Linked DNA regions of Tribolium castaneum. The protein of the gene in region 2 purifies or fractionates together with the protein of the main gene of each other region. This does not show direct contact. Links are inferred from orthologs where the notes say so. Each region holds a gene or a part of one and is shown on either strand. Other genes may lie near its edges. The genes, in order: Pten and protein dj-1beta.

Region 1 (16,709 bases), on a different chromosome or scaffold from region 2:
TTTTTTTTTTCATTTCAATAATAATTCTAAGATTAATCTTTCAACAAAATCAGTAGGTGCGTGACATTATCACGGCCATCTGTCCTAAGAGAATTAAGTACAATAATTGATAATGAGTACTCGACGAGATAAAATTTCGTTTGAAAACCTGACCTATTTAATATCCAACTTACCCGAAAGTCAGCACTAAACACTTTATTCTGTTTGTCTTTTTTATTAACGATATCAAGTTCGTCCTTTTTTAACGTCAACACGCAACTCTGTTTCGATTCACCACTTCCGTTTTGTTCAATCAATTCGTTCGTTCTGTCCTCTTGGTACATCACAAAAAATGTATTAAACCAAAACTGAAACACTCTCTCTTTCCTTCCAATCTTCGACTTGTTATAAAACTCGATTTTAATATCTCCATTTAGCACCAAACACAAATCCATCGTGATAAGCAACTGCGATACACCTCTCTTCACTTCGTAGACTCCGCTTTTATACAATTTGGTGCACTTTTGTTGTGTATCGTCTTGTCCTTGTAGCGTCTGTTGCGATATCGAAAAACACACATAGCCTTGGCCTCCTGCAAAATTCGGCACCGGCTCCAAAACAATCTGCTTGATGTACATCGACACAGGCACATACAACAACTTGTTCCTAAGCAGGGTCTCGTAGTAACGGATATATCGCACTTGGCTGGGAATGGTGACCCCTTTGTGATCTTGCGTCCGTGCTTGTCCGTAATGGTCGAGGGCTTCGTCAGCGGTAGCAAAAGCTCCACTATGCAAAAGGTAACAGCAAATCATGGTCCCGGTGCGCCCTTTCCCCGCCTTGCAATGAACTACGGCCACGTTCTCTGGATCTTTGCTCAGCCAATCGTGAACGCTGTGACAAAACGGCTGAATCAACTCGATTTTGGGCGGGTTGTGGTCGTCGAACGGAAAGGTTTGTACTCGGTTGTGGAACTTGGACGTGTCGTAAGTGCGTTCCGAACACAAGTTGTAGATGAAGTAGTGGTTGTTGTGTTTCGAATCGAGGAGCTTCACCACATCGTCGATGTGGTTGCGGTACACGCCTTCGATGTTGGACGCCGGGTAACCCATTGCTATTATGCTATCGGTTATGTCTACAAACGAGTCAAGGAAAGTAACTAAAAAAATATTTTTAAAAATAAGCTTTTATTTAAAATCTGCACTAAAATCCCTTAGAGGGTGATTAACTCTAAACAGTATAGCATTGTCACGGAAATTACGTATGTATGCAAAATTTCAGTTTATTTGGACAACAGAAACACAGGCAACAAAGCATTAATTAAATAAAAGCTTTTAAAAACAGTACTAACAGAATTATTTCTTTTAGCATTGAAAAGGATACATGTCAGGTCGAGATTGAACCCGTCCTGCTTGTATCGGATCCTCCTCTTGCTGACCAGCCCCCGTATAGGGTTGGTGATGTTCATATTGGGGAAAGATGTTGCCATATTACCTGAAGAGTACGGTCTTGCGTTGACGTGATTTTGAACAGGCAAATGCCCGTTCAAATTGTTCGAACTTGTGGGCTCATGTGACACATGAAGGGGTGTAACGACTGAATGTAGTTGGCCACATATTTTCGACGATTTATCTGATGCGAGAGAACAAAACATTACATATTGCAATTCTATCGGTTGCAGATATGTATAATCTTATAGTATGTAGTGTACTCCCCCACTAAAAGGACTTGTCTTTATCTTATCATTATTTTATTATCCTTCTGTCTGACTATTACGATTTTGTATTCTACCCACTTTATTACAAGTCTAGAGGTTATGCAATATCTGGACGAAATACAAAAAACGGAGGATGATAATGGTAATTTATTATCAATGGAAACAGAAGGAATTACAATTTGTGCAAATATTTGGACATGATACGTGACCGTTGACATGTCGGTTTCATCTCGTTTTATACCTGCAACTTAATAATCAAAACGAAAAACGCTAATCTTAATTGTAGTAATCAATTTAAGACACTTAAAAAAATCGTAAATTTTGGGCCGAGGCGGAGCCGAGTACTTAATGAGTATTACATTAATTTTTCTCGTAACAGGTACTCAGTATCACATTTTAATAATTCAATATCTCAAAATCATAGATAACGATGCGGCAGATAAAATTTACTCATTAAATTAATTTCGCTCACATTTTTATGAACGGAAATATTTAACAGTGGATGTAATTTCGCACCAATGAGCACACATTGGCTTACATTTCAAAATACTTGATCAAATTTCACAACAAAGCAAAGAAAAATCTTTAAAAAAAATCGCTTGCATTATTGCATCAGAACAAAGGCGTGATGACTATTATGACATGTTCATTGGCACCAATTACAATTAAAAAAATTAATAAAAAAAAGGTAATGTTATAATAAAAATCAATGTTGACCCAAATATCAAAACCGGAAGACGATAAGTAAGCGACGCCTAAATTGCGTAATTTTGTACACATAATAATATTCAACTGTCAAAATAGCAACAGTCACGTGATATATGTCAACAAATCCGGAAGCGGGTGTTAAAATTATCCCCGATTTGAATTTGAGCTATTTTTGTGCGACTTGACAACAACGCGTCGTTTTAATGTCACAAGAAGACCATGAACCGTTTCATCGTTGCCGAATTTTGTCCCCAAAATGAGCGAATGACTGAAACCGATTTGATAGAAGGAAACGTGCCTTGAAAGTTTCCTAAATTATCCATTAAATGGTTTAAAAATAACTCTGCATAAACAATTTAAATCATGAATAGTTGATGCCCTTCGCAGGCCCGGCAACAGTCCGGCGACCTTCAACCCTTTGGAAGAGGAGCGAGCCGACCCTTGGGGGGGTTCGGGGCGCAGGACTGTTTACACGACCCAAAGCGGAACTATTTACATATTGCGACCTTCAAGGTAATGTTATCTCGGTAATATTATGTCACTGATGCGCGTTTCTTGTATCCAACCCTCCAACATGGGGCTTACCTTTAAATCGGTCCTTTGATTTGCCGCAGCTGGAGCACAGCCCCATAAAAAAGTCTCGGCAAAAGTCCACGAAATGTTGATAGCTCGTGCGCTGGCGTGCGTGCCTACCATTGAACCCTCGTGTCCGCTGTGTCAGCCCCCGGGGCGCAGCCCCTCTAGAGGCCCTTTAAACGGACAGTGCCTCCGGTGAACAATCACACCACATGCGTTCCACAGCCGTCCTGATTATAGACATCACGCACTCGTCCCCATTTCGGAGGCCGGGGCTGCTCTGAGCACCTCGATCAAGGGATTCAAAGCCGGTTTGGGGCTGTTTTCGGACTAAATCGCTGCCACACTCAAACGTCTTTGTCTTTTTTACGGCACTACACGGTCTGTCGACACAGATTCAGTCAATGTAGACAACTACATCGCGTCGACTGGTGTCAAGAATTCCGATAGAGGGCGCGCAAAAGACCGGGAATTTCATAATTTCACGCGAATGAATGAAAGAAAACCGCGATTTCCGGACGAATTCTCTCATTAAAATTACGATTCACCGCTAGTGACATTTCAGAGGATTGCGAAACGATGACTGAACATTCTACAGACAAGACTTTACATACAATCACAATTAATATTTATGAGGGGACTTTTATAAAAGGAATGTCACGTGGAAAATGGTTCCCAGAATTTGCACGAAATTTCAAGAATCGTCATATTAAGCCTTTTATCAGTAATCAAATATTTGGCGTTTGATTAATTCTTTTCTACTCCGATAGATAAGCGAATAGAGGTCTGGGCAAATACAAAAATCAACCAGAGACTTCATGACACCCACCGATTGATTATTATGTCATATGACAAAACTAATAATCCACACCGTTAGTTCATTTATCGACTCATATACTAATTATTTCAAAATTACAACCCTGCTTGTAACGATTTTCCTACATTTTTCTAGCATTTGTGATTTAAAAACAAAAATGTAAATAACATAAGACATTTTTAACGCAATAATCTAGAAGGCATCGATCACAATCAATTTGTCAATTAATTGAAAGTGATTAATTATTGCCACATTTTTTTTACATTTAATTAAAAATTAACAACGTAAGTGCCCAAATTTGATAACATATTTAACACATAAATTAACTTAAAGTCCGATTCATTTTAATGGCATAATGGGTAACTTTAGAAATTTAAACTTTAGTTGCGAATTTTATCTTAGTTTTTTATTTAAATAAATTTAAAAAAATCGACGTTTGAATAGTTTTCCAAAAATAACTGCAACTTTTTTCTTGAATATCTGATTTATGGACGGAGTCAAATTTACAAAATGATTTATTATTCTACGCTTATATTATCAAAGCCTACTCTTATTCCAGTTCAAATGAATACGACTTTATGTTTTCTAACGAAACCCACCGAATGAAAATGATATCATGTTCACAATCTCTAACCTCGGAAAAACTCCAAATTTTTCCAAGAATTTTCCCACTTCCATGCTTATACTGGTCCAAATCATTTTTTTCATACATTTTAATTTTTTTAATTGTTTGTTTTAAATGCTTCTAGGATGATGTATGAAAAGAGCCTGGCTGAGACTTTAAAAAACCTGTGCCTTGACCTTCACCCTGACCCATTTCCCACAAAAACATACAAAAAAATCGTCCTCCAGTTAAAAAAAATCACAACTATTATGGAAGAAGTAAATGAGCGTAATGTTTGCTGCATTAGCGATATTCTCACCAAAATATCAGACGACGTTGTTGTTTTCACCGAAATATCCGAAATGCCAAAAAATTGGTTAATCCCAAGCGTTGAACTTTGCAAAATGTTAACACAATGGCAAGTTCCGAAAACATTCAACAGTCTTTTACAAAAACTGCTAGCCTATATCGTAATTAAGCTGAGTCGTTGCACGAGTGAAGATGCAGCTTCAATTTTGAATGACTTCAAAGAATTAAAAGTTTGCATTTTTACTTATCGAAAAAACTCCATTTGGAACAACACGAAACTGGATGAAATCATCGAAATGTTCGTGGAAAAGCTAATCAAGACAGTTAAAGAGTTAAAAATTGATAATTGCGAGGAAAAGGTGTGTTGGAACGCAAGTCGTGCATGCTTTTACGATTCATTGTCTTCCACTTTCAGTTTCATTTGTTCAGCATTATGAGGATAATGATTACAGAGTTTGGTAAACATTCAGTTTATAGTACCATAATTGTTAGGCAATTAACACAAGAGGTCAAGAGACATTACGAGCATTTGAAGGAAAATTGGGACTTGGAAATTAATGATTATGTTCTTGAGAATTTCCGGACCCACCTGTTCATCCTCAATAATATCATTGGAACAAGCATTATTAATATCAAAGAAAGCGGTAAAGACATTTTAACAGAATTAAAAACCACTTTGTGCGACGAAGAGATTCAGGACAAAATGTGCGCAAGAGAAGCTTTCCTTGTCCAGAATATTTTGCGAATTGTTTACGTTTACTTATCGGCGGAGTAAAATGTTTTAGGGGAAATACTTAATTTTCATTTCATTAATTGTCTAAGCCATGTAATTATTGTAACAATGTAAAAAGAGGATTAACGTCCGTAATTTTTATTCTTTAACCTTTTCACATAAAAAAAATGAAGAACACTGTAAACATGCGACGCATGACTTCAACATGGAGTGAAAACCGTTGATCATCACACTTTAAAATCTTTGTAAACTACACATAAAGTCATATTATGAATGCGACATGCTTAAAATATCAACGCTGAATAGAAAGTGTTTGTACTCTGAAGAGAGCGACTCATTTCCCTAAACTATATACACAAATAACCCAACACAATACTCGTGGCACAGCCTCGTTGGGCTAAATAAAACTAAAGCTTTTTCTGATAATTAACACAATGTTTGAAATTATTTGAAAAACTTTGATACATTTCTACAGTGTCGTCAAAATTATCTATAATGGGTGCTAAGTACTGAAACCACGGCTGCTAATCCAACTCGATCCGATTCGTCGGTAAAGCCCCACAATGCATTTTCGATTCTTTCATTTTATTTAACGAAACCATTAAATCTTCCATTGTGATTGGCCGTAATGCGTCTTGATACTCATCTTCCGACGAATCCAAAACCGTGTCACTGTGCGTTTTCATGTAATCCCTAACACGATAAACTGACCCGTTCCGACACAACTCTCTCAAATCCGAACCTGAGAAGCCATCAGTGAGCCTCGCTAGTCTATCTATGTCAACATCATGCGCAACGGGTTCATTCTCAAGAGTCAGTTGTAGAATCTTTTTTCTTTGTACAGGGTTTGGCATTGAAATATGGAATGTGGCCGGCATTCGGCGTAAAATCGCCCGGTCTAAATCCTGGGGGCGATTTGTAGCCCCCATGACTATAACAGTACAATTCGGATCAGTGATCAAACCATCCCACAATGACATAAATTGGGCTTTCATCATAGCAGTCGCCTCGTGGTCGGTGGTATTCCTCGACCTTAGAAACGAGTCAATTTCGTCAATAAAAATAATACAGGGTTGAAGTTTAACAGCAAGGGTGAACACAGCAGCTGCTAATTTCTGGCTCTCCCCATACCACTTATCAGTGAGGATTGATAAGTCCAAGTTGATAAATCGGGTCCCAGCCTCTTTGGCTGTAGCCTTAGCGATGAGCGTTTTGCCACAACCTGGGGGTCCATGTAACAACACACCTAGATACAGTTGTTTTAATCTCTATAAGACGCTTTCTAATTAGTTACCTCTGGGGGCTGTGGTGAGTTGCGAGTCCGCAAACAGCTCCTTGCGTTGGATTGGAAGTATAACAGTCTCGCGTAGCTCCTGGATCATGTCGTCCAAGCCGGCGATGTTGCCCCAAGTCACGTTAATGTCCTGGGGGTGTATCAAGTGCGCCGCTATCATCATTTCATAGTCGGACAAGTTTTCGATAACTAAAGGAGCATGCCCGCTACCAGCTAACCTAAAAATTATGTAATTGGGGTACAGTCACACCAACAATTTCTCCACCTTTTCAACTGCTCCTGTGCCTTTTTCCGAGCCTTCTTTTTACTCTTATTAGTGGGATCGACTTGGTTCATTAACCATTTTATACTAATGAACGTTACAGCAGAAACCAAGGTTAACCTCACAACTAAACTTATGATCTCATTACGGGTAAAAGCGGCATCGGCCATTTCAGTTTATCGCGAAAGTTGGAATTACACTACCATTGACGATTTTAAAACCGGGGCATCCCACTATTACAAAGAAATGTAAAAACAGTGTCACTTGTTGTTAACTGTCACACGGTGGGTTGGCACGACTTTGTTACCAAAAGTGGCGCAAATTTTGAATTTTACAACTATTATTATTTATATTATACCAATAAATCTGTATTAATTATTAAATGGTTAACCATGTGCTATTATCAGTGTTAAAAGAGCTATTCAGAACATTGAACAATAAAAAACGTTGGGGAAACGTATGCGCATTCGCACATTTTTCAGATTCATGTTTTGGGAAACGGCGCTTAGTTTAGCATCGCGACGCTTTCAAACTGCCGTCGGAGTATCACATTCCAATATTTTGCGCTGCGATTAAAATGTAGGTAAGTCTTGTGTATTATTTTTATTAATAAGCAACTAATTTTGAACGTAATCTAATCGGATTTAAACATTATAATAATTATTTGTGGTGATAAAATTAATTCCGTAACTTTATTTCGAAAAGTTTAATTGAAATTGGATACACTGGAGGTTAACTAGCTTTTCAACACTACACTAGCAGAATCGATTGTTATCCGATTTTTACCCTATTCAAACACCTGAGGCCAATAAAACGTAGATGTAATGATACCAAAAGCAGGTGAAACCAATGTGTTTTTACGAATTTAATATTGTGAGTTCTTTGTGAAATGCGAGAGAAATTTTCAGTACCTAACATTCAAGACAAAACATTTAATGTTTTCATGTAATCTCTTCGAAGATGTTAAATGATACATTAAACCCTTATAACAGCTGGAATAAAAGTCTCATATCTGCGTGGTTTGGTATCGAGTGGCAGTTACTTTCTTATCAAATTGCTCTTTCTCTTTTATATATTTTTTTGCAATTGTGATGCGAATATGTAAGGTTTCTTCATTTGTGCATTTTATCCCACTGGAGGTTGTATTTAACTACAAGACAAATAAACCCAAGATATTGTTTACTTAATGATGTACATGTACATATTATTATTCTTTAGATAGTTAAATAAATATGCTGAAATAATTTAATTTAACAATATGAAACTGGAATTAATTAAAACAGTCATTTTGGTGTTTCATTTCGATATAAAAAAACAGGAATGAAAAGAAGAGAGCGATAATAAAAGCACACACAGCTGGATTAAATTGATTAAAAGAATTTGGTACGGCTGTACTTATAAGGTCTAAATTTTTTAATTAATGCCATAAATAAAATGTAATTTTTATTATGCATTGTTAATGTGTGAAATATGTGGAAATAATGTGAGAGAAGTTGCTGAACTGTGCATAATAAAATGAGAAGTAATTAAAGCTGACTTTTATGTATTTTGGTTTCTGTTTTCATAAAGTGACAGCTTTTTAGTATTGAATAACTCAAAGAAAAATACTACAACATACACATTTATTTCGGATGAGGTGTCTAAGCTACAATACAATAAGATAATATGGATGTGAGTAGAAATAAAATTGTTTTCTAGCTGCAAGTTTCCTTTTAATAGATTTTTATTCATTTTTATGCAAGCAATTAACTTGCAAAGCGACAATTAATTTTCCCGGCGCATCCACCATTTTCAACATCATTAATTTGAAAAATAATAATTTACGAATAACGAAATAATGAGTAATATGTTTTTCGCAATTCTTTTAAAGGTAAGTTAAAACCTCGGACATATTTTATTTAATCATAATCATATTTCAGAACAAAACTTTGTCGAAAATAACGAGAAAAATGAGACGAAAAAGTAACTCACGTACCTTTTTACTCAACGCCCAAGAAACAAACCTGTGTACATCCCAAAGTTTGTTTTTTAAAATTAAATGTATCCTTTGGACTTTGCTTTACAAACAAACTGTTAGTGTCAATTAATAAAAATAGCAGGTGCTACTGGTGAAATAATTTAATTCAAAGTGACGCCACGTAACGACCTGCATAATTAAGCGTTTACTCCAATTATAGCCAAAGAAATTACCATCATGTTGAGAATTTGTACGCTTTCCTAAAGTTCGCATCTATAGTCAAAATGGTAGATAATTAAATTGTTTTAAAAGCTTTGTCTACCTAATTTGTCTGGAAATGGAAGCCGTCGCCAGGAAGTTCATAAAGCCGGTGAAAGGATTTTTATTGCTTCGGTTGCAGATGATTGAGTATCGTCTAATCGGTAAGACAGAGGTGTTGAGACTTTAGAGAAATTTGTAGGCACGAAGTGAAATCGATTTATATTTCTTTTAAGGTGTTTTTGCATAATGAATTTTAATTTTACTGAAAATTTTACTCGAAAAAGATAATAAACAAAACTTTTTTCGATTTATTTCTAATAATAAAGAAAGGCAGATCTGAAATAAAATTACCACACTTGAGATAAATCACGATTTCATTTTAACATTCTCGTCAAGGTTGATTAATGTGGAAGTAAAAAATTAAACCGGCACGTATCTTTCTCATTTGTTGTTTGTTTCTCCCTTCTGTCAATTTAATTTTAACAATAAAACCTCATAAATAAATCAATTATTTAGCTTTACCCAACGGTATAATTTAAAAGTCAAATATCCAATTTGACGATTTTTTTAGCCGACTTTAGCAGTCTTAATTGCATTTTACTCGTTTGCAGACATGGATCTTTCCACCAATTCATCTCTCAACGTTACAGCGCATGACACTTTTCAGATATCGGACAACACAATAACTTTTATCATCGGCTTTAGCATCTTAATTTTATTTGTTATTTTGGGGATGTTGGCAAGCGCATTCTTATGTATCACCCTAAAAAAAGATCCCTACTTGTGGGAGGCCGAGAGAGACCGTCAACTGCAAGAGCAAGCGGAATTCGAAGGAGGAACCAATTGCAAACAAAGGGACAAAGTCACACAACTCTGATTACTGTATAATTTTTAATTAAAACAAGTTTTGTTTAATGAGAGAGATATTTTTAATCGAAACAGCAATTTATAATAAATTATACAACAACAAACCTTACGACTATAAAACAAACAGTTTTTTGTAACAAGAATTAAGTTTACTTAAAACAATTTTTCATGCACCTAAAATTTAACGATTTTTTAGTAGGAAATTTTTGAGACGCAAATCGCCCAATTTGTACTTATCCTTATCGGAATTTTTTCCTTATCTTTATCAATTTTTTAAATGGTCACCGTCACCGTCAAACAAGCAATTTTTTAATTTCAACTTGCCAACTTTTTCGCCTCTGTGCCCATTTATCGACCCGAAATCATAATTCGGGAAGTATTCAGCAAGCAAAGTTTCTAATTTTTTCGAAAACATCTTCAGTTTGTCCTCCGTATGGTCACATTTCTGAAACACTACAATAATCCTGAACGTCACCCAAATCTACTTACTTTGAAATGTTGACTGGCACTATTCACCAAATGACGCAAATCTCTCACAAACTCGTTCACATATCTGTAACAATCTCTAATAAGATTTTTCTGAACCATATCCAAATTTGGACCGTCCTAAAAATTTAAATAAAAAAAAACACAATTAATAAACACAAGATCCACCATCACGCATTCGGTCAATAATCCTGCCAACTCCGTGCCTTTCAACTCATATAGGATTTTTTCAAGGATTGTCTTAGCTTTTTTAGTTAGACCTCCACTTTTCATTTCATAGACCATAATACTTAAAGTTTCGGGCTTTCTCCGATAAGTCCGTGACGGTATCTGTTTAAAAAAATCTAAACGGAGTCTTACAGAAATGAATATTTTACCGTATCTGATTCAAGATTGGAAGAAGTATCGTCCAAAAGGTCGGGAAAAAACTGAGCCGGTTTCGGAGGTGAAGTTGAAGAGCTTGATCGGTCTCCATAATCAGAAAAATTACTATTAGAGAGCCACTCGTGTACATTGAAAAACACTTCCGAATTCATCTAAAAAAACGCTTAAAGCTGTAAGTTTTCAAGTCGCGAGAATTGTACCTCACTCTCCATCGGTTCGTCAATTTCCGACTTAACTTGTTCAGGTTTTTTAGCTGAGGTTTTGACTTTTACCCAATACTTATCATTGGCCGCTTCGAGTCCTTTTGTGATATTTTGGGCCGTTTCAAGAAACTCAATAACGCGAGGGCTGTTATTTTTATTGATGATTGATAATTCTTTATTTTTGTATTTTTTGGGAACTCGATAACTTCCCGGTTTCATGTAAACAACTGCATTTTCCTCGTCTGAGTCATTATCATCAGATTTGGTACAAAAATCACCAGAGCACGTTTGATTCCCTTGGTCTACAGTCTCTGTAGACAACGTTGAAGGTAAATGAAGTATTCCTCTGACGTTCTTACTCGAATTTGAAGTTGTATTAGTTAAAGTTGGAGTTGTGGCACTTTCGCTACTTGCAGTAGTTTTTTTCGTTTCGCCGGTTTTTAGAAGACTCACCTTACATGGTCCAGGGTCAGGGATTTGGGATTAAAATTATAGGATAATTACCTGAGGAGGGATCAAATTGTTTGCTGTATGTACGTTAACTGTGGGACTAGGATTGCTTTGATTCACGTCTAGATTATAAAAAATCCTTGTCAATTCGGTAGCCAACTCAACCGTTTCTCTTTCCCATCTTACATAACAAGCTTTAAAACCCGGAGTTAACTCTTTTTCAATTTTTCCCAAAGCCGAGCCTTCACGATTCTCCCAATAACCCTTCAGTATATGCCAACAGTTGGTGAGTCTGACAAATGCATAAATAAAATCCTTTGTGGCCCAGGGGATCCCCTGTGAGTGTATATTTGAAATAGTTGTTCGCGGCTTGAGTATCTCCGATCTTGTCCGAATACACAAATTTTGTATATTGCGAAAGCACGGCCTGTTGCGATTTCTATACGCAATTTGTTCGGCTGTCAAACAACTACGTTCCAGAAACTTAATAAAACTATCAGTGTTCATCTGGAAGTCCTCCGAGTTGTTCTAATTATAAATGATAGGAGTTGTTTAAATAACATAGTAATTTTAGAAAATTACCATGAAAAAAAGCTCGTTTACTGGGGGAATGATAGGACCAGCACCAAATTCAAACTCGGGTGGTTCCGGAGGAGTTCGTTCCGGATCGGGAACGCTGTCTTGGGAATCCCCCTTTTCACGTCGATCGCGGCTAGGGATGGCGACGGCTGAATCCGGCCCTGGATGACCAGGGGTGCTTCCAGTGAATGTGGATGATAATTGTGTCATTGGCATGTTGTATTGACTGCCGACGTTGAATTGAGTGTATTGATAATGTTGGAGATAAGGGCGCGCAACAGTTTGAGGTGCAGCAGCGTAAGGGATTAAAGGGGTGCGATAACTGATCGGAGGGTAGTAAGTGGTGGGGTAGAGGCTTTGACAAGCGCATACGTGATGCATGTGCAAATGGACGTTTTGTTGATGATTCCCGTTCACGTCAGGACGGTTTTGATCCATTATATAACTTGGGAAAGTTCTGGAAGGGAGGGGATAATTAGCACGTTAATTAAATCTTGTCTAGGACTTTTGGTTACTATTAGAAATGGGCTCATTATTAAAACAAACTTTGCGTTTATTTGTCCTTTATTCGCTAAGCTAATACAAAAAATTAGTTTCAAATTCATTAATCATTAATCATTACCGACTACCGAATCAGGAGCCCGGCCTTGTCACAGAGGGCCAATTCGGTCCTGCCTTTTCTAACAAAATCTTTTTTTACGCAATTTTGAGTCGCTACTATGCCGAACTTACGCAAGCGATTAATACTTACATAAAATTGCACTAATTAATTCTTAAAATAACATTTTTCACAACATTTCAAACACGGATTTGACGTACGAAAAAAATTTGTTTGTTTTGATGGATTCAGGATCGTCATAGCAACGCCAATATGATAGCGTTTATTAATTTTTTCTCACGAAAAAAAAAATGATTTGTGCCGATAATAATCACCTAATCAAATAGAAAAGTGTTTGATTAAAGCTTGTGTTTCTTATTTTTCCCGCAAATTGTTTCAAAAAAGGTTGGTAGTACGGTTTCTCCTAGTGGGGTGGGGTTGGTAATAGTGTGGTCTTATTCGAAAGTGCTTGTTTATTTTATTTTGTGTGTTTTTTTCGTGAAACTGGATTAAAATTGGACAGATAAGAGTATAAGGTAAGTCACAAATAGTTTTGTATTTATTAGTTTTATTACTGTAAGTTCTTGTGCGGTTATGTAACCTCAACAGATTTGGGGGGCTTTAGGATGGGGCCGGTTCAAAATCAATGCTTTATTCACTCTTAAAATTATAGTTGTGCATCTAAAAGTAATATAACAGTTACGTTAGACTATTATTATGATTAACAATCGTCAATGGATTTAATGCATTTTTGGCAGTAAATTATGTACATCTAACGTCCGTTAAAGCAACCGATTATGAGAAAATCAGACAACTATCTTATCTAAACGAACCAAACCGATTCGGTTTTTCTAAAGTTTGAACCGAATTGATTTAAAATGTATTATCATACAATAGGATCAAAGTGACAATACTTACTCATCACCATCCAAACTGTGTTTTATTCTTGTACTAGTTATTAAATTTTAAATCATTCTCTAGCATGTCTAATAACAAGATTTAAACTTCTACTACAATGATATTGTGGCTTATTAACATTGTGCTTATTCACGAAACAAATATTTTCGTATTCAACGAACGAACACACCGAAAAAAGTTCGAGCAATTGGCAAACTGATCATTAATTACATTTATTATAAAAAAAATTGTTTTTATTGAAGACCGACCAGTGAGCAAGAAATGAACTCCAACACCTCACAGGTGGACAATTAATAGGCCCATTAGTAACGCGACGGAAGCGTAAAGTGCGCTACTACTATTGCAACCATCTTCCTCACAAGCGCACACTTCTTGACGACCTCCGAACCCCGACCTTTGATAACATTTGTTCTTGTAATGGGAGTCATCCCAACCACAGGTCCTGATAATACGACTTTCCGGTTGCACTAAAAATAATCATCAAAACTGTTCAAACTCTCGATCTCACTTATTACATCCATTGACTTCAAAGTCAATCACTTGCTTGATTTTCCGGCACAGTTTGTACTTTGTTCCGGGCTCACTTCCAGGGGGCGACATGTTGGGGCAATCCATTTCCAACTCGGTCTTATATTTGGCAATATCGGTGTCGCTACATCTCTTATCCGCGTAACTGTTACACTGGTAACATCTAATGGCGTTACCTAAGAGAAAACGGATGATTTTTTTTTTAAGTTAAAGAGGGTGTGCATTGAAAGTGTTTTCATTTTCAATGAACATAATATAGTCTCTTCGTGGAACACAGATAAATTTGGTACAGAAATAGAATAAATTAGTGTTTATCATTCATGATATGACTTGCGTCAACAAAAACAAATAGTATTCAGATTTTCTCAACTTTATTCTCTCTTTATTCCCAAATGGTACAGCTTATTGATCTTCGAAATGAAATTGCGCGTGCGCATGCACCTTTTTCTTTTTTAAATTAATTACGATTAATGCATTTACATGTTTCTGATTAATAATTTTTTTAGCGAAAGTATTTCTAAAATTGTCTACAATACAAGTAGCGATTTACTTGAATTGGTGGAAAAAATTGGAGGGGTCTCGAAGGGTGCGAACAATAAAAGTAGTTGATTATGTAATCATTACTGTCTCACAAGTGTAGCACTTCACAAGTGTAGCAATAATTAAATAAATTTATGAGAGGCATAAGTTAAATTCGAACTGGAGGGTGTTTTATACTTACTTGATTTCAAACACACTAAAATAAGAAGAAGGGATAGTCCAGTAATGTATTGTAAATGGACCATTATTGGTTTGTGTTAAAAATTTCAAACGAAAAGAATTATTTAATTTAAATAAAATTAGATTATATGATCACGAAATGTTCGGTTTGAGTTCAATATGAAGACTGAATGCAGCTTCAAATAGGGCCTGCGCGAAACCTTGATTCTAACGGAAAGATTCATAAAGTGCGATCTGCGTTTAAGAAAAATATAACGGATTGTTTTTTCAATTTTTATTGATTGATAGTAAATGAACTGAAGTGAAGAAGGGTTACCATTTCCGTAATTACAAAAAAAAAAGTTGGCGTATACGTGTTACTGATTTGCTATGATGTGGCTCGATTAACTCCTACATAGTTTTTTTTTTCCGAAAAAAAAAATGTTTCGTTCGTGTTGCAAAGTCTGCAAAGTTGTGTCTACCCTTTAATTTATTATCCTAATTAGTATTACGAAACCGTTTGATACAATTGGATAATTCACCATATCCGTCCAAATTTGTTGCAATTGATGAAATAACACGTTGAATAACACCATCCATTTTTCCGCTTTGCGAAGGCGAGACAGGAAGTGGCAAATATTCCCTGTGGAATTATTATTTGCAAATCAATTTTATTTGGGTTTTTTAACCTATGAACCGTTGATGTATACCAAGGACGGACCAAGGAGCTCCTTGATGCATACACTCGGGGACGTATTTTGATCGAAAAAGTAATTTAAATGAATTATCCTATTAAGGTCAAGGGAACTGTGTTTACCCTAGGCAAACTAGCTCATACGCTACAAATAAAGCAGGTTAGGAATTTTTTCGTCATTTTGAAGAAATAGACAACTATTGTTGATCTCTTTATTACAATTTCTGTTATTTTAGTGCCAATGCTTCTTATCATACATTTTCTAAATAAAGGTTTTTTCCTCGCATGATAATTAAAAATAGTTATCTATTTGGTTATTACCATAATTTGTTTTTATTTTGTAGTACTTATCGCATTTAAAGTCGGACAGAATATAAAATATTTACACTTTTTTCTTTGTTTCCAAAGTTTTTTTGTAAATTAAATCACAATTTTTGAATGAAAATCGGCTAAAACTTTAGTCGTTAATATCACTGTCTTTTCATTTCTTAAATCGTATTTTTTGGATGGGGTAAGATGGGGTTCAAAGATCATGTTGGCAACCCGTAAAACACTGCGGTCAGTTTCCTGTAGAATTGTCTAGGTGTCGCTTTAGCGAATCATTTCGACATGACGTCATTCTCATTTCTGAAAATCCATGAAAGGGATGACTCATTCATATCGAAAGTTATTACGTCGTATTTGTTAGTATTCTGTAGTATTTCGAGAACAATACTACACAAGAAGTTAAAAGTTATATTCAAGAAATTTTCAAGCCAGTGTTGTGCTACATTGTGAGTCATTACAAATAAAAGCGCTTTGCTTTTGAATGTGGTGTTAAAGTAAGTGTTATAATATTAAAGATTCATTATTTACTTTTTTACCAAGTAATGCTTGAGGGACACCTCACAGACCTTCACTTTGTTTTCTTCTTCGAGAATCTTCATTTCTCGATATTCTTTTGTTTGCTATTGACGTAACTTAACCTAAAATTTCCATTTCAGATTTTATGGAAATTAGTGATTCCGTTTATTATTCACTGTTGGCTTTGGTCGTCGTGCCTGTTTACCTATTTTTCAATCTTTGGTCGTGGTTAGGTTGGGAATT
Region 2 (15,490 bases):
ATCAACTTTTTACTTGATTCCAAGTAAACGGAACTTGAAAATAAATCTACTACTTTAATTTTTAGTAAAATATTGGTTTTTGCTAAATTTTTAGCTGAAATATTAGGGTGCAATTTTTTTATAATAGCTTTTATTTTAAATTTGGACTGATCGAGAAGATGGGTCGTTTCTTCAATGTTTGATGAAAAATGCTACAAGTGTTTTACGGGGTCGGTCAGTAGTCACAAAAAAAATCGTTAATGCTTTTTGCTCTATTACTTTCTTTAATTAAATGAAAAATAACGTAAAATCAAAATTTTGTTACGAGTATACATATTTTATTCAAAATTTAAATACATTGTATACGGTGGTAGTTTTGATTATTTCTAAAAAAAGTAACTGTCTCCTTCATTATATTTTCATCACAGTCACAACCACCAATATAATAATATAATTTTTTTCTGTAGATGTAACCCTTTTGTCAAACTTCCAAAAGGAGACACCACAAGACCATACGTTATACGTTTCAAGACCTTTGAAATTCGAACGGCCTTTCATGACCTGTGTACGTTCCGTTCCTTAAACTAGATAAAAAAAATAGTTACAAACAGCTTCTTTCTATTTTTCCAGTCAATACCTCGGTCCCAAAGGCTGAAATAATTGGATTCTCTTTGGCCTTTTGAGGTTTTCACCATTACTTTTAACATATTTTGGTAATAAATTTAATTTTCGTTTTGGCAATTTGCTAAGTGACATTTAGATTTGCAATGGATTTGCTATTCAGCTTGCGTTGCTATAAACAACTCGTTAACTATCCGGTAAGGTACCGATAGCTTGCAATTTTTTTGTGAATTAGGTTGCAAATATCTCGATAAGCCTCGGTAACGGAATTGCAAGTTGCAGTTATAGTAGCGATTTGCAGATAAGTTTCGTGAATGACCCCCAGAGTTATTGCGAGATAAATACTCCAGGTATCTACCGGAAATAGCCCAAAATCTCGACAAAAATTACTAATTTTTATTTACTAATTAGGGGTCATTAAATTAAATTACTAATTTTTGTCGAGATTTTGGGCTATTTTTTGAGTTTAATTTTAAATTAGAAAACTCAAACATAAAAAATCAAACCTATTAACTTTTTTGCACTTTTGAGAGATGCAAAAGGTTCTAAAAACAAAGAAAAATGCATAAAACTTTGCTAGAGCGTCAAGTTTTTAAGAATATATGTAAATATTTTTAATTGTTTAAAGCTACACTTGTAAGATATTGTAAAAAAGACTACGCCCGGCTCTAGTAACTAAATGTATGAATGAAATCTCGTTTTATTATTAATTATTTCAACAAAACTTTATTCATAATTTGCATGGATTCTCTCTAAATACAACTTGCGTGTTTTTGAAATTAATTTACTACAACTAGATGTATAGAAGCTAACAAATTTAATACCAAAATAAGATTTGACTGCCAAGTCAAGTATTTCACATCATTTGACCTTCAACTTGATAGAATTGTAAGACATTTATTACATTTTAAATTATTAAAAAAATAGCAAAAGGAGTGGAATACTATGTTGAAGTACATGAATCCAATTGTTCTTGCGAATGGAGCCGTAGATCGATAAAAAACAGCTCCTGTTTTTTGTAAATATACAACAAAATGTTACATGTTACACATTGCTCACTGCTGCTTAAAAAAAAACAGAGAACTCTGTGAGTCAAAAGTAAGTGTTAGTAGACACACAAAGACTGCAAAAATAATATTTACTGATGAATCTTAATTTGAGCGTTGGAGACTCTTAAGATTCTCAAAAACTGATAATAAGAAACTCCTAAGACCGTGAGAGAAACATAGCATATCTTCAAAGGGTTTGAAACAATCTGAGTTCATAGATAAGACAGTAATCAGCATCAAACATAAAATATTTTGCAGAGGTTTATTACTACTCTCTAATAAAGTATTTGTATTTTATAAAAAAATACTTTTGAAATACCAATTTTTGCATTATTGTTATGTTTTAGCCAGCAAGTAGCCCTTATTTAAATATCATTATGTCATTTAGGCACAAAATAAGAAATTATCTTTGAAATCTTTCTTATAGTAATAATTCAAAAAATTAAAAAATAAAATAAAACACCAAAATTCTGCGACAGATTTTAAAAATATACCACCGTACATTCGAGCTGTTATTAAAACCAAAAAAAAATATTAGATACAAATTACTAAAAAGTTTTTCTTTTTTTTGCCCAAACAATTAGTTGTCCAATATTTTTTATTATTTTAATTTTATGTTAAATAAATCTTTTGTTATCATCGTGAAAAACTATTATATAGATTTAATAATAATACTCGCAATTCAAATCTAAGATATCCTAATTTAATGTCCTTACCCTTACCACATTTTCATTCGGCTGTGTTTCAACGTTCATTTACTTACAACTCAGTTTCTTTTAACAATAAATTAAATGCGCCTATCAAATCAAACAGTTTTCGCAAACAATTTTTTTTAAGTAAGCAGACAAACAGCATATAATTATTTTTATTATTTTTTATTTTTAATATTATTTGCTTACCTCCTCTATTCGTTTTCATTTTGTTTTCTTGTTTTGTTTTATTTTGGTTATCATATTTATTCTTCTTACCTATTTAAGTATGATCGTAATGATTTTAATGTTCTTGTTTTTTTTTGTATTGGGGTTGGAGCAGCTTCGGCGTATATTATAAATATTATTATTATTATTATTATTATTAATTATTATTTTTAATAAACATTCACTAGCTTGACATGCATTTTCTTTACAAAAATGTATACGACCGAACATTTAGTTGTTAGGGCTCGTAGTACAGGCTGTTTGTGGATCGCGCTCGCAAATTTTAACCACTAATAAATCTCGCCAAAAAAAAAACGACTTTTCTGTCTCCAATTTTTGCCTAAAACATGTCATTTCTGAGTTAAAATTAAAATTAAGTTGAGGCTGAAAACCCGTCTCCGCCTATGTCTAGATACGATATTTCCATTTGCTCAAACAAAAAAAAACTATGGAACGTAAACAGCGTAAAAACAAAAAAACCTTATTAGTGTCAATGTTAGTAGGTCAGTAGTAATGGGAAAAAAAATTTTGGATACGGAATTTGTTTTGTCTTTTATTTTTCATAACGCATTCTTTAAGTGGTTAAAATTTGTGAGCGCAATCCACAAACACCTTGTATATTACGTAAAATAAACCGTAAAATTGCTGGAACAACCCGTTTTGTTCTAGGACTTTTAGTTTTCGAGTCATGATTTTTTTAGTGAAGGACTAAAAATAGTACCCATGTGAAAAAAATCAAAAGTTCAAATTCAATTTGCAGTAATTGCTCCTCCAGTCAATCGGCTCCGAATCACCTTAATCAAAGCTCAACTTTCGTCAGCATCCTCTCACTGTACATTGCAAAAGCGTAAACCAATTAATAACCAAATCCGACTTTCTATCCCCTAGTGCAGCATTCAATTAAGTTTAATCGAGTTTTTGTCGAATTCCAACTTGATTAATTGTTATAACTGATTGATTTTTGTTTCGTTCCGCAGGCTATGGTTCCGTCTCACCGCGGACATCTTGGGGTAAACTCGTCACCATCTTGTACGCCTTGGTGGGAATCCCCCTCATGTTGCTCTACCTATCAACAACCGGCGACCTCCTGGCCCGCAGTTTCCGGCGCCTTTACGGCAAACTCTGCGGCATGAGCAGCCAGAAGCCCCCATGTCCCTGCACCAACCCCGTGCGGGTCCCCGTCACCCTCTGCCTCGTCATCGTCCTCGCCTACATCTGCTCAGGGGCCGTGCTCTTCCACCGACTGGAAAACTGGTCGCTGCTGGAGGGCTCCTACTTCTGCTTCACCTCCCTGGGGACCATAGGCTTTGGGGACCTCCTCCCGGGGCAAAACGCCGAGGAGGTCTCCCTGTGCGCATGCTCGGCTTACATCCTCACCGGCATGGCCCTGGTGGCCATGTGCTTCAGCCTCGTCCAAGACGAAGTCATCAATCTCCTGCGCTACATTGGGGCCACGTGCACCCGCAACAAGATGCTCAAGGTGCGCGACGAGGAGAGCGCCTCCTGACAGCGGCCCCAGACCGAGGGGGCGGCCCCCATCAAGAAACCCCCCGTCGTCAACAAGATCCCCCCCATGCTCCAGCACAACAGCCTCCCGCGCAAAAGCAACTTCAGCCGGAACACGCCCGCGAGGAGGTCGGCGGGGGCGGAGCCCCTCGTCGAGTATTTCGTGCCGAGGAGCGTCAGCGAGTTCGACCTGTCCATAGCCACCGGGGACACCCCCATCACCGGGAACTTCCTCCCTTTGACGGTGAGGGTCCCCAGGAAAATGGCCAACAAGCAGAAGGAGAAAATGGTGACTTTTGAGGACGAAATGGCCGCGAAACTGAACAAGGATCCCGAACTCCAAGACGTGTTCATGTGACAAAAGGGATAACAATTAGTTAATAAGGAGACTTGTCTCGTCGATGATTTCAATACGGTCAAGCGGGAGTTGAAACAGTTCAAAAACTTCAAGCTGTGCGAAGGGTTGAAGAAGTGCGACGAGGACTGCTCGTGCAACGCCGAAGCCGAGTGCGATATTTGCAAAGTGATAGATTTTACCATGAAAAAAGATAAGTTATAAGGGAATTACTAGCAGTGCCAAACTTGTACATAGTGTAAATAAGCGATTGAACTGATTTTGTAAGTTAAGAACCAAGCAGTATTGTCTCTATAATTGTTGATTTTTTCCAATAAACACCCGACAATTAGCACTTTTTTATTAGCACCCCCTTGACTATGCCATGTTGGTGGACCTGCATTTTTGTATTTCGCGCACAAATTATGCGCATGCGCTGCCTAACCCAACCTCAAAAATTGTCCTAAAACCGTAATAAAATGTCCTTACGCACTTTCCTGTTCCGGCAATTACCCAGAACAATTTACCACACTCAAAAATACAGCCCCCATGTGCCTTTACTACAATCAGACGCACATAACCTCAATCTGTGCCCCCGTCGTTTTAACCACAAGGCAATAAAGTGCTGGCAGTGTGGAATTGAGCGCAAAAACCTTGGTGAACTCTTTTGTGAACAGTGCAATTACATACAGTCACCCCCCGAAAAAGACAATTATTTCAAAATTTTCGAGTTGGAGGAAAAATTTTCCATTGATCCAAAGCAACTCACTTCGAAGTATCGGCAAATGCAGGGTCTTTTACACCCTGATAAGTTTTCAAACAAGTAATGTGTGTCCTTATAAGGGTTTTGAATATTATAATTGTTCAATAATTTAGATCTGACACAGAAAAGGATATTTCAGCCGAATTTTCATCCCTTGTCAATAAGGCCTACAACACGTTACAGACGCCCCTAAAGCGGGCCATACACTTATTGCACCTGAAAGGGGCTGTGATTGACGAAGACCAAAGGGTTGAAGATCCGGAATTTTTGATGGAAATTATGGAATTAAATGAAGAAGTAAGCTAGAAGTATGTTGGTTCAGTAACTTAGAGTTATTTAAGGTCGAAAATGCCGATTCCGACGAGAAATTGAAGAAACTAAAGCTGAAAAATGACTCAGAACTTTCCAAAATCGCAAACGAAATTAACAAGTGTTTCGAGACTGGTGAAATAAACAAAGCAAAAGAAAATATAATCAAAATGAAATACTTTAACAGTGTCAGTGTCCATATAAATAATTTAATACGAGAAAAAGGAATTACGGAATAACGATCGCGTCCTTAATTTAGCATTAAGTTACGTTGGTAGTGCTGTCGAGAAATTTGTCAATAACTTTTTTCCAACGAAAAACGTTGTTTTGTCGATTGTTTGGGGCAAAAAATGGGCAAGCAAAATTCATTCACTGCATTCCTGAAAGGTGTATACCAGGACGATTTCAAATGGTGAGTCTTAAACCACGTTGGACGAAAGTGAGGTTATGTGCGTTGCAGGGCTCTAGTAAAAAGCATCGGTTTGTTCGCTTTAGGAGTAAGAATCGCACAAGAGTTTCACGGAGTGGAGTTGCTGACGCCACAAGCGTAAATTAAGTGCGTGTAATTAGTTGTAAATAAAGAAATAAACATGTGGTGGTTGTTTTGTGTCTTTCTTCTTAACCAGTCCCATGCGCTACCCAATTTCGTGTTTGTGTTAACTGACGATCAGGATTTGACGCTGCGAAGCTTGGTGAGGCTTCGCCTTATCAAAGGGGCTACTTTATCTCTTTTTTTAGGATTTTTTAAATCAGACTGTCAAATTGGTGGCTAATCAAGGGCTCACTTTTACGAATTTTGTAAGTCGAGTTGTTAACACACTTGGGTCATTTTGTGTGGTTTTAGTACGTCAATTCGCCCATTTGTTGCCCCAGTCGTAGCACGATTTTGACAGGGAAGTACCCACACAATATCCAGGTTTTTAATAACTCGCTCACAGGGGGCTGCTCTAGCGTGAGGTGGCAACAACAGTACGAGAAAAACACAATTGCGTCAATTCTCAAGTCGCGAAAAAACTACACAACGTTCTACGCCGGCAAATACCTAAATCAGGTTTAATCACAATGAAAAATTCACTCTTGTTTATTATTTTTTTCAAGTATGGAAAGTCGGGTAAAGGCGTTAAACACGTCCCCCCAGGTTACGACTGGTGGTTGGGGCTTAAAGGCAACTCCAAATACTACAATTACACGCTTTCGATCAACGGCAGTGGTCACTTTTTCGAGAAAGATTACTTAACCGATAAAATCACAAAATATGCTTTAGATTTTTTAAATCAGACAGACGAGGGAAATTTTTTTATGATGTTGGCGCCGCCGGCATGTCACGCACCTTTCACACCGGCCGACCGACATCGCCGGTTATTCCCCGACTTGGAAACTTTGAAAACACCGCCATTTAATGCAACACCGTCTGATGTATATTTCACGGTCTCGAAAAAATTTAAACTAATAATTATATTGTATAGAAACACTGGATTGTGGCTATGCCTCCCATGAGTTTGCCCCAAAACGTCCAAATTTTGGACGAAATTTACAAAAATCGAATTAGGACGCTACAATCTGTTGATGAGATGGTGCAAGCTCTTATCACAAAATTGCAAGAAATTCGGGTTTTGGATAATACGTATTTTATTGTTACGTCCGATAATGGGTTCCATATTGGTGGAAAATTATTGTAATAATTTTTATTTGTTAGTTTGATATAATTTGTTTAAGGTCAATTCACGCAACCGTGGGACAAAAGACAGCCGTATGAAAGTGATATTCGTGTTCCTTTCATGATAAGAGGGCCCAACATTCGCAAAAAAACCGTATCGGAAGTTTCTGTCTCGGCAGTGGACATATTTGCAACTATTTTAGATTTGGCCGAAATCACATCATTTGAATCAGACGGACGTTCATTTAAAGAAATATTATTTAAAAATCAATCATTTGATAATAAATATACTTTCATCGAATATTGGGGCGAGGGCAATGCCAATTCGATCGATAGTACATGTCCTTGGGGCCCCACTAACCAATTATCGGTAATTATTAATAATACAAGGGGTCCAGCCTAACTCTTGTCTTCTGTAGCTCAGTTATTATTAAAGTTGTTGGAGTTTTAATATTTTGTATTTGTTATTTGTACTCTAGGACACATTTCAGGAAAATATTTCTGTTTATATACAGAGTGTCAAAAAAATATGACGTCATAATATGTTTTTTAATGGCATTCTATTATTTTTAGTGCTCATTAGGATACCTTGTTTTCTTCTTACTATTTTTTTTTCTTTGGTTTCACAAATTGTTCATTTATGACTAGTTTTATTATGACACTTTTTTTGGGGCAGGAGATGAGCTGGACCATCCCCTGTAGACTGAAAATAATTATTTAGGGCCACTCTTTTGCAGGAATGTGTACCAGAGGCATGGTGCAAATGCCAGGACTCGCGAAATAACACTTACACATGTGTTTTGGACATTTCAAGTGCGAAAAAAATCAAATTTTGCTTATTTGAATATGGTTTTGTGGAAGCATACGACTTGATCGAGGACCCCCACGAGCTTGTCAATTTAAAACTGGACGAGGATCAAACGACTCATTATCTCAATGTTCTCGAAAAATTCAAATTTTGTAAAAAGGCCCAATGCCAAATAAACATTTAAAAAAAAACTAGTGATTTTTTCCCTAGGGGTTGGTGCCCCAACCTGCTACTGAACGTTAATGAAATTAACGGTTTTTTACGATTGACGGTTTAAGACAAATACGTTTCTGATAATCACCCTGATCGTTTTACCACGTCCCCAATTTCCCATTCCATTTGAAATTATAAAAATTGTTAAATAAACCTGGTGATTTTTTCGTCTAACGGTTGGTGTGTCGAGTGGTGCAAAAATGGCGGTGCTTGAAACGAGTATGACACCTAAGACACGTGAAAATGCGAAAAAACCGTCAAAAAATAACAAAAAACAAGCCAAAAAGGTGCTTTTAGTGGCACAAGAGTTAAAACTCGCCCGCGTTTTGGCCGGAAATAACAAAACAGCGCGAGATAGGGCGCTGAAAAGCTTACGAAAGTGGTTTCAAAACAGGTCGTCTGCAATTCGTGAGTTGGGTACAAATTTGCATCGTTGTGCTCACACTTCTTTGCAGCTTTCACTGAAGATGATTTCTTACGACTCTGGAAGGGTTTGTTCTATTCAATGTGGATGTCGGACAAGCCTTTGGTTCAAGTGAGTGTATTAAAAAATTTGGTACAATTGTGGTCAAAATTACGAAATTTAGGAAGAATGTGCCGAGAATATTGCAAGTTTGATTCACGCGTTGCCAGTCGAGGGGGCCTTGTTGTTTTACAAGTGTGGGATGACGATTTTAATGAATGAATGGTTTGGGATTGACCAACTTCGACTAGACAAGTTTTTGATGGTAAGTTAGTTGGGTTGGAAAAATCAAAGTACAAGTTTGTTTTAGTTTGTGCGGCGGCTTTTGAGACAGGCTTTTCTGGTGTTGAAAAACCAAAATTGGGGGCGTGATTCAGCCCAGACTTTTACTAAAACACTCTCAGAGACAATTCTGGACCCCCCACGACACAAACCAATGGGGCTGCTTATGCATTTCATTGAAATCTATCTCGAGGAATTATCCAAAGTCTCAGAGGGACAATTGCCCCCACAGTTAATGACAGAGCTGTTAGCCCCTTTTGTGAGACAGTTGTCGTTTAGTGACGATGCTAGAGTCATTGATCATATCAGGAAACACATTTTTATTTATTTGATAAGACAGTCAGATTTGGGCTTGGAATATGATGAGAAATACAAAGCTTGGCGCGCTTTGAGGTTTCCTGGGACTATAGACGCCATGCAAAAAATCGAAGTCTCGGACGACGAAGGGGGCGAGGAGGAGCCCCCACAAGACAAAGTTTTCGACCCTCGGGCGGGTAAAGTCAACGTGGACTTGCCACAATTGAAATTCCACCCAAGAGCTGTGTCTAAAGCTTTACTAGAGTGTAGGTTTTCAAAAGAGACCAATTCCAAGTCACGGAAGTGTCTAACTGAACTAGCAGAACAGTAGGTAACAATAGTGAGAGTTGACCCAAATTTGAGTTTGTCTCAGTTTTAGGAAATTAGCATCAGGGACTTATCCCCTTGGTGTGAAAAAAGTAAAATTAGCATCTGATGATTACGATACGAATATTAGAAAAGCAGTTAATCGTTTAGTAAAGTTCGATAAGAAAATCAAAGGCACGAAAAACCGCAAACGAAAGCTCCAAAGTGACACGATTGAGTTACGAGGCGGGAAAAAAATCAAAATCGACGAAAAACTGCGCGAAAAATTCCAAGACGATTTAGTTCGAGTCATGAAAAAGAAACGCAAGTTGGTCGACAAGCCCGAAAGCCCGCCTGAGAAACAGTCCAAACTACAAGTTGAATCAATTTTCAAACGTAATTCCGGGACGTGGTTGGTCACAAAACCCCCTCAAGAAGAAGCGCAAAAAGCGCCACAAGAACTATTTCCGAAAAATAAATGGGATGAGAGCAACCATGCAACTGAAGAGGTGGAGAAAAGCTTGAAGAGTAAAAGATTGAGTTTGCCTACGAAACTAATCAAAAACCCATTTGCCAACTCGACTCCGGTCAAGAAAGTCAAAATCAATACCAAGCTCAATAGGTCACAAGACGTGCAAGAGCACCATGCCCAGATTTTGAGCTCGCCACAAATTCCATACGACGCCAACAAGAAGCCGGCAAAGCCGTTGCTGAAAACTCCGACACTGAAGAGCCCCATTGATCCTTTCTATGCTTTGTAAATCTATTTTTTACGTAATAAAATTGATAATTGTACAGTCATGTTTGGATTATCCGAACGTCTGAATCCCGTAATCCGAACTACCGCTTATTTATTTTAACTCCGGATTATTTTGTAGAAGGAAGCTGAAACAGCTGTTTGAATATATTGTTTAGTTTTTTAATTTCTTATCCTGAGGCAGAAAACCGAACGCAAGTTCAGATTATTTATATAATTTATTATGAGTTCTGTGGTCTGTACGGTTTTTCCAAACATTGCAATTGAAATTTTGATACGCCTGGAAGTTGGGCAACCACCATTACAATGATGCATTACATTTAGATGGTATTAGTTGACATTTTGACTTAACCTAAAAATGGCGGTGAATTTGGCCGATCAAATTCTGTCAAGCAGAAGCCAATTTATTAAACATTTGCGAGAAGATTTGGCAAAAACTGAACAAACCATCTTCTCTGTTACGAATCAATTGGACGAGTTGAAACTTACAAGCGAAAATGTCCGCACCTTGGGCAAAAAAGTGGAGCACCAGTCCTTGATACCTTTAGGTGCAAATATCTACGTTAATGGCCTGATCACACACACTGGCGAGTACTTCTTGGATAAAGTGGCCTTTCCTGAATCGTACTCAGTTGTTGAAACGTTGGACAACACGATAAAATTATTAGAAACTCGCATTAAGACCCAATCAGAGTTGCTCAAAAAAGGGGAGGATTCAAGGACACAAATCAGCGAGAGGATTCGGCTCCTGGAGGATGGGGACGGGAACGACGACCTCCCTAAGGAAATAGTATCGGACCGAGGAGTGGCATTGAAAGTGGGCGACTATTACGAAATCGTCGAATTCGAAAATTAAAACAATGTATTATCCAAGTGATTACAATAAAAAAATATAAAACTGTGGACGGATAGATTACGATATGGTGGACACGGTGGTCCCGAACGAGAACGAGCTGGGAATCCCATAACTCATCCCACTGGCATCGTCGAGACCGTACTGTGGGGTGTCGTCGGTCGAGAGCCCGCCAGGGAGGGGACTGTCGATGCATTCAGAGACTGCATTGTGCCCATCTTAACAAAACAAAATACTTTTTAGCCACAATTCTACAACGACCAAACGCTTACCTAAATTGTACCGTTCTGTTATCTATCGCAAGCATGCACAAAATAAATTATTTACTAATTGTACAGTCACTCACCCTCAAATGCGCCAAGTCCTCGAGTCGCGTCAAGTCGGACAATTCAATGTAGAGCGAGTAGACGAGGATCCAACCGTAGATGCTTATGGCCAAAAACACCGTCCAGAGGAGGCACATTAGCACGTTGTAGGCGAAAATCATGTCGTTCACGATGGAGAAGAAGAGGTAGGCCAGGAGGCGGAAAACGGTGAAGATGCCGAAGGCGTACAGCCACGGCACCATCTTCTTCTCATATTCCTTAATTAAACAATTAACATAAGTCCGTCATTGTTACAATAAACTGCAATTTTTTATTTTTTCTATAAATTATATCCATATTAATTTTGTTCTATTTAGTGGATAATACCAATAAAAACATTTTTGTAACTTCAGGTTTTGTAGAAAATTAATTTCTCTTCCGTGGTAATTAAATACAGGGAGACCCAGGAGTGTGTAATCAGTCTACATTTTTTTTGGTAATTGAAATATTGTTAATTGTTAGGCTGTTTTTATTATCCGATAGATGACTTAAAATCCACAAACTAAAAATATTTTTATTATACACAGAGTGGTGAACTAAAGTTATATTTTTAAACAGAACACCCTATATATTTTTGCATAATTAGAATCTACGCGAAAAAATAATGTAACTTTATATAAACTATTATGGTTCTATCTTTTTTCGTTTTAAAATTAATCAACTTTTCGTTATAAAAAAGATAAAAAATCACTGCAAAGTCGTCTATGAATATTTTTCGGAAAATTTGCAATAAAAAAATCAGAATACCTTGCAGTTTTAACAAATAGACGCAAATTCAAATTCCAGAACCACCTGAGATCCTACAATATTTATAAACAGTCCGTATAATCTATAATAGTACATGTCGTTGTACAAACTTAGTTATAAGAGTGCGCAAAAGTGGATATTATAATACAATTAAAAAACCACTTACTTAAAAGTAACATGGAAAATATTGCTTTAATTAAATCAGGCGCCCAGCTTTCGCCGGGCAATCAAGAAATTTTCATAGACTCATTTGAATTGTTCCCCTCCACGGAAATCTTTAGTAAAAGGCGAAAGATTTATTCGCACTGAAGGGAAACCAGAGTGATGTTTGAAAATCAGCCTTTCGTTTATATCCTGGCCCGTACGTATGATATTCGTGACTCGTTACATTTAGCGCCACCTATCCACCACCACAACAAGTACCAACAACAACAAATCAAAGTTTTGTAGTTTTACCTTCCGGAGAGCAATTATAAGCATAATGCTGGTCACAAACACACCAATTGCCAGAAGAATGGAAAAAGCAGCAAACATTACAAGAGTATTGCGGACTAAAACAACAAATTGAGGACAAATGGGCGATTAAATGGTGGGCTTACCGTGACGGTTTCCCACGTAAATAAACTGGTAGGAAATAACGTAATAGCCGGTGTGGACGGACCCTGGGACTGCCATTGAGTAGCAGTAGAGATCGAAGCAACTTGTGATAACTGTGAAGATGGACAACAGCTAAAACATGAAATTTATGAAAATGTGATATTTAAACAAAGGGGGCGTAACATACCAAAGAAAACACTCCGATTAATAGGGAGGATCTCTGGACGTCCAAAATATAAGATTCGGTTATGATTGGTTTTCTGTACCAAGGGATTTTCAACGATTTTATACTTCGGCTACTTCGCAAATTCGCACTGCTGCGTGTTGTGACGTGTGAGTACACCGAGGGGGTGCCAGTCGTTGGCGATTTCTTGCCGTAATTCATGTTTTTATGTATTTTTTAACAATTAAATCAATAAATAAAGGTATGACACATTTGGGTAGGTAAACAAATAGGTGTGGCAAACGTCAAATTCCGCCGCCAACCTTGCAACACCAACTAACTAGGTGTGTTAATTACAAGGATGTAATTACCGTAATTAAACAAAATCAGTCATTATGACATTAATTTAGGGAGTACGGACACAAGGGGAATTACGTGTATTTATTTCCAATTTTATTTTTTGCAAAATATGCAATTTTGTTGAACAACCTAACGCGAACAAAATCCCCAAACTGGCATGACCTACTCCAATGTCAGTCATATGTCAAAGTTTTAGGGCTCCGCTCACTCGCTTTAATAGGTTAGGATTAGCGGTGCGTTTTATTTCGAATATGAGCACAAAAGCCCTTGTTTTCCTCGCCGGAGGCGCTGAAGAAATGGAGGCTGTAATCGCAATTGACGTACTTCGCAGAGGCGGTGTAAATTAACCCCTACTAAAAAAAAACACAAATTTTTCCTGTTATTTTTAGGTGGAAGTAACAGTTGCAGGCCTACCGGACGCCAACATCATCAAGTGCAGCCGCGGTGTCAACATTAAACCTGACATTTCAATCTGTGAGGCCAAAGGCCCCTTTGACGCAATTGTCTTACCTGGGGGGCTAGGAGGGGCGAAGGCTTTGGCCGCGTCTAAAGAAGTAGGGGAGTTGATTCGGGAGCAGGAGGCGGCGGGGCGACTCACGGGGGCGATTTGTGCCGGTTTGTAATAATTTACTGTGAAATTTCCTTAATTATACAGGGTGACCCAAGGGTGTGTAATCTATTTGATAAAACTACAAGGTATTCAGAATTTTTCTATTGCAAATTTGGCGGAAAATATTCATAGGCGACTTCGTTATGATTTTTCAAAAATTGGTCTTTTTTATAACCAGAAGTTGAATAATTCCGTTATACAACACCCTGTGTATAATAAAAATATTTTTAGTTTGTGGATTTTAAGTCGATCTATCGGATAATGAAAACAGCATAGCAATATTTCAAATAGCAAAGTTACACAGCCCTGTGTCACCTGTATAATTGGTTGCCTATGTTAAAATTATGGGGTTGTAGCGCCCACGGCCTTGAAGGCCCATGGGGTTTATGTGGGCAAGACTGTGACGTCGTACCCAGCCATGGAGGCGCAAATGCTCGAAGGTGGTCAATATAAATACAAAAAGGAGCCAGTTGTGGTTGATGGGACTCTGGTTACAAGTCAAGGGCCTGGCACTGCCTTCGTCTTCGCCCTAACCCTAGTGGACAAACTTGTCGGAAAGGACAAGGCGGCAGAAGTGGCCAAAGCCATGCTTTTGTCGTATTAACAATTTATTACTATGGCACTAGAAACAAATAAATAACAATAATTAGTCGTTCTTCACGTGTTTGTTCTTATTATTCTTAAGCGCGCTCTTGCACTCTTCGTACAAGTTATTGAGATCGAAAGCCCCTTTAACGTTCTCACTCGAGAAAAAGAATTTCAAAATGTTGCCTTTTGAGTCAATAGCCGGCCTCCGCACCACTTCTTTCCCTTCTTTAAACAGAATTGTCGTGGGTAACTGCTTACTTAAACTGCTGTCATTCACGCGATATTTCTGTGCGGCATCGGGGTATCGCCCCACGTCGATTTTCCCAAACTTGAAATTCTCCAAGTGATATTCGGTGCTCAGTTTTGCGAAAACCGGGGCGAAGTTCACACAAGCCGGGTTCCAGACGGTGTAAAACGTGACCAACCAATAGCCGTCCCGACTACGTGCCAATTCCTCGTCCAAGCCTTGCATGCCCCGGAAATAAATGACATTGTCAGGGCCGGAATACGTGGGCTCGGGAAATAGCAACGCCCCCACTGAAATCACCCAATTAAATGCGACAATTATGACACAAAATGACTCACAGATGAATATGATCCCGTAGATAATGCCCATCAGAAAATCGGCGTTGAACCATAGTATCAAATTCGCTATTTTTGTGTACACGAAACTAGACGATAAGTAATTGATCATTGATACACTGCCCGATTTTCGGGTCCTGATCATGATCACGATGATCAGGAAGAAGAGGATTTCGGTCTCGCGCTGCAATCAAACAAGTTGGGTGATATTCACAAAAAGTAGAACGTGTTTATACACACTTATAATTTTTTAATAATTATGAAATCACTAGTATGCTATTCGTTATTATATTTCTGCAGAAGTCAGCTTACTAAAAGACATTTTGTTCGGCTGTAAGTAACAGAGTTTGGAAGATTTGGAATT

Evidence for each region.
Region 1: the proteins of protein dj-1beta (region 2) and Pten purify together in Homo sapiens (affinity purification with western blotting; 4 studies listed by BioGRID, with this or other methods). This does not show direct contact. The link is inferred for Tribolium castaneum from reciprocal best matches to the Homo sapiens genes PARK7 and PTEN.

What each region holds. Positions count from the first base shown.
Region 1 is NC_087399.1:147,551-164,259, reverse strand, and holds the start of Pten (phosphatidylinositol 3,4,5-trisphosphate 3-phosphatase and dual-specificity protein phosphatase PTEN), read right to left. Parts: upstream 3,592-16,709; 5' UTR 3,036-3,591; coding exon 2,990-3,035; intron 2,918-2,989; coding exon of another isoform or gene 2,776-2,917; intron 1,612-2,775; coding exon 1,363-1,611; intron 1,135-1,362; coding exon of another isoform or gene 1,115-1,134; coding exon 174-1,114; intron 1-173. Other genes in the region: uncharacterized protein LOC103314152, read left to right, coding at 732-1,134, 2,776-2,917, 4,547-5,069, 5,126-5,485; nmd (outer mitochondrial transmembrane helix translocase), read right to left, coding at 5,968-6,689, 6,738-6,955, 7,003-7,169; uncharacterized protein mtsh, read right to left, coding at 10,350-10,529, 10,574-10,690, 10,739-10,900, 10,948-11,106, 11,155-11,610, 11,662-12,135, 12,190-12,624; uncharacterized protein LOC663924, read right to left, coding at 13,979-14,169, 14,218-14,406, 14,952-15,015; phosphatidylinositol N-acetylglucosaminyltransferase subunit Y-like, read left to right, coding at 16,493-16,565, 16,607-16,709. UniProt on the Homo sapiens protein: Dual-specificity protein phosphatase, dephosphorylating tyrosine-, serine- and threonine-phosphorylated proteins.
Region 2 is NC_087401.1:11,623,575-11,639,064, forward strand, and holds protein dj-1beta, read left to right. Parts: upstream 1-13,493; 5' UTR 13,494-13,516; coding exon 13,517-13,684; intron 13,685-13,735; coding exon 13,736-13,961; intron 13,962-14,312; coding exon 14,313-14,560; 3' UTR 14,561-14,602; downstream 14,603-15,490. Other genes in the region: TWiK family of potassium channels protein 7, read left to right, coding at 3,544-4,073; Hsc20 (iron-sulfur cluster co-chaperone protein HscB), read left to right, coding at 4,886-5,229, 5,283-5,475; N-acetylglucosamine-6-sulfatase, read left to right, coding at 6,069-6,170, 6,217-6,276, 6,323-6,529, 6,577-6,894, 6,945-7,140, 7,195-7,505, 7,873-8,127; Nnp-1 (ribosomal RNA processing protein 1 homolog), read left to right, coding at 8,357-8,564, 8,612-8,691, 8,744-8,884, 8,930-9,525, 9,572-10,265; uncharacterized protein pasi2, read right to left, coding at 11,231-11,332, 11,461-11,697, 12,683-12,777, 12,826-12,955, 13,011-13,208; thioredoxin-related transmembrane protein 2 homolog, read right to left, coding at 14,603-15,081, 15,130-15,310. UniProt on the Homo sapiens protein: Multifunctional protein with controversial molecular function which plays an important role in cell protection against oxidative stress and cell death acting as oxidative stress sensor and redox-sensitive chaperone and protease.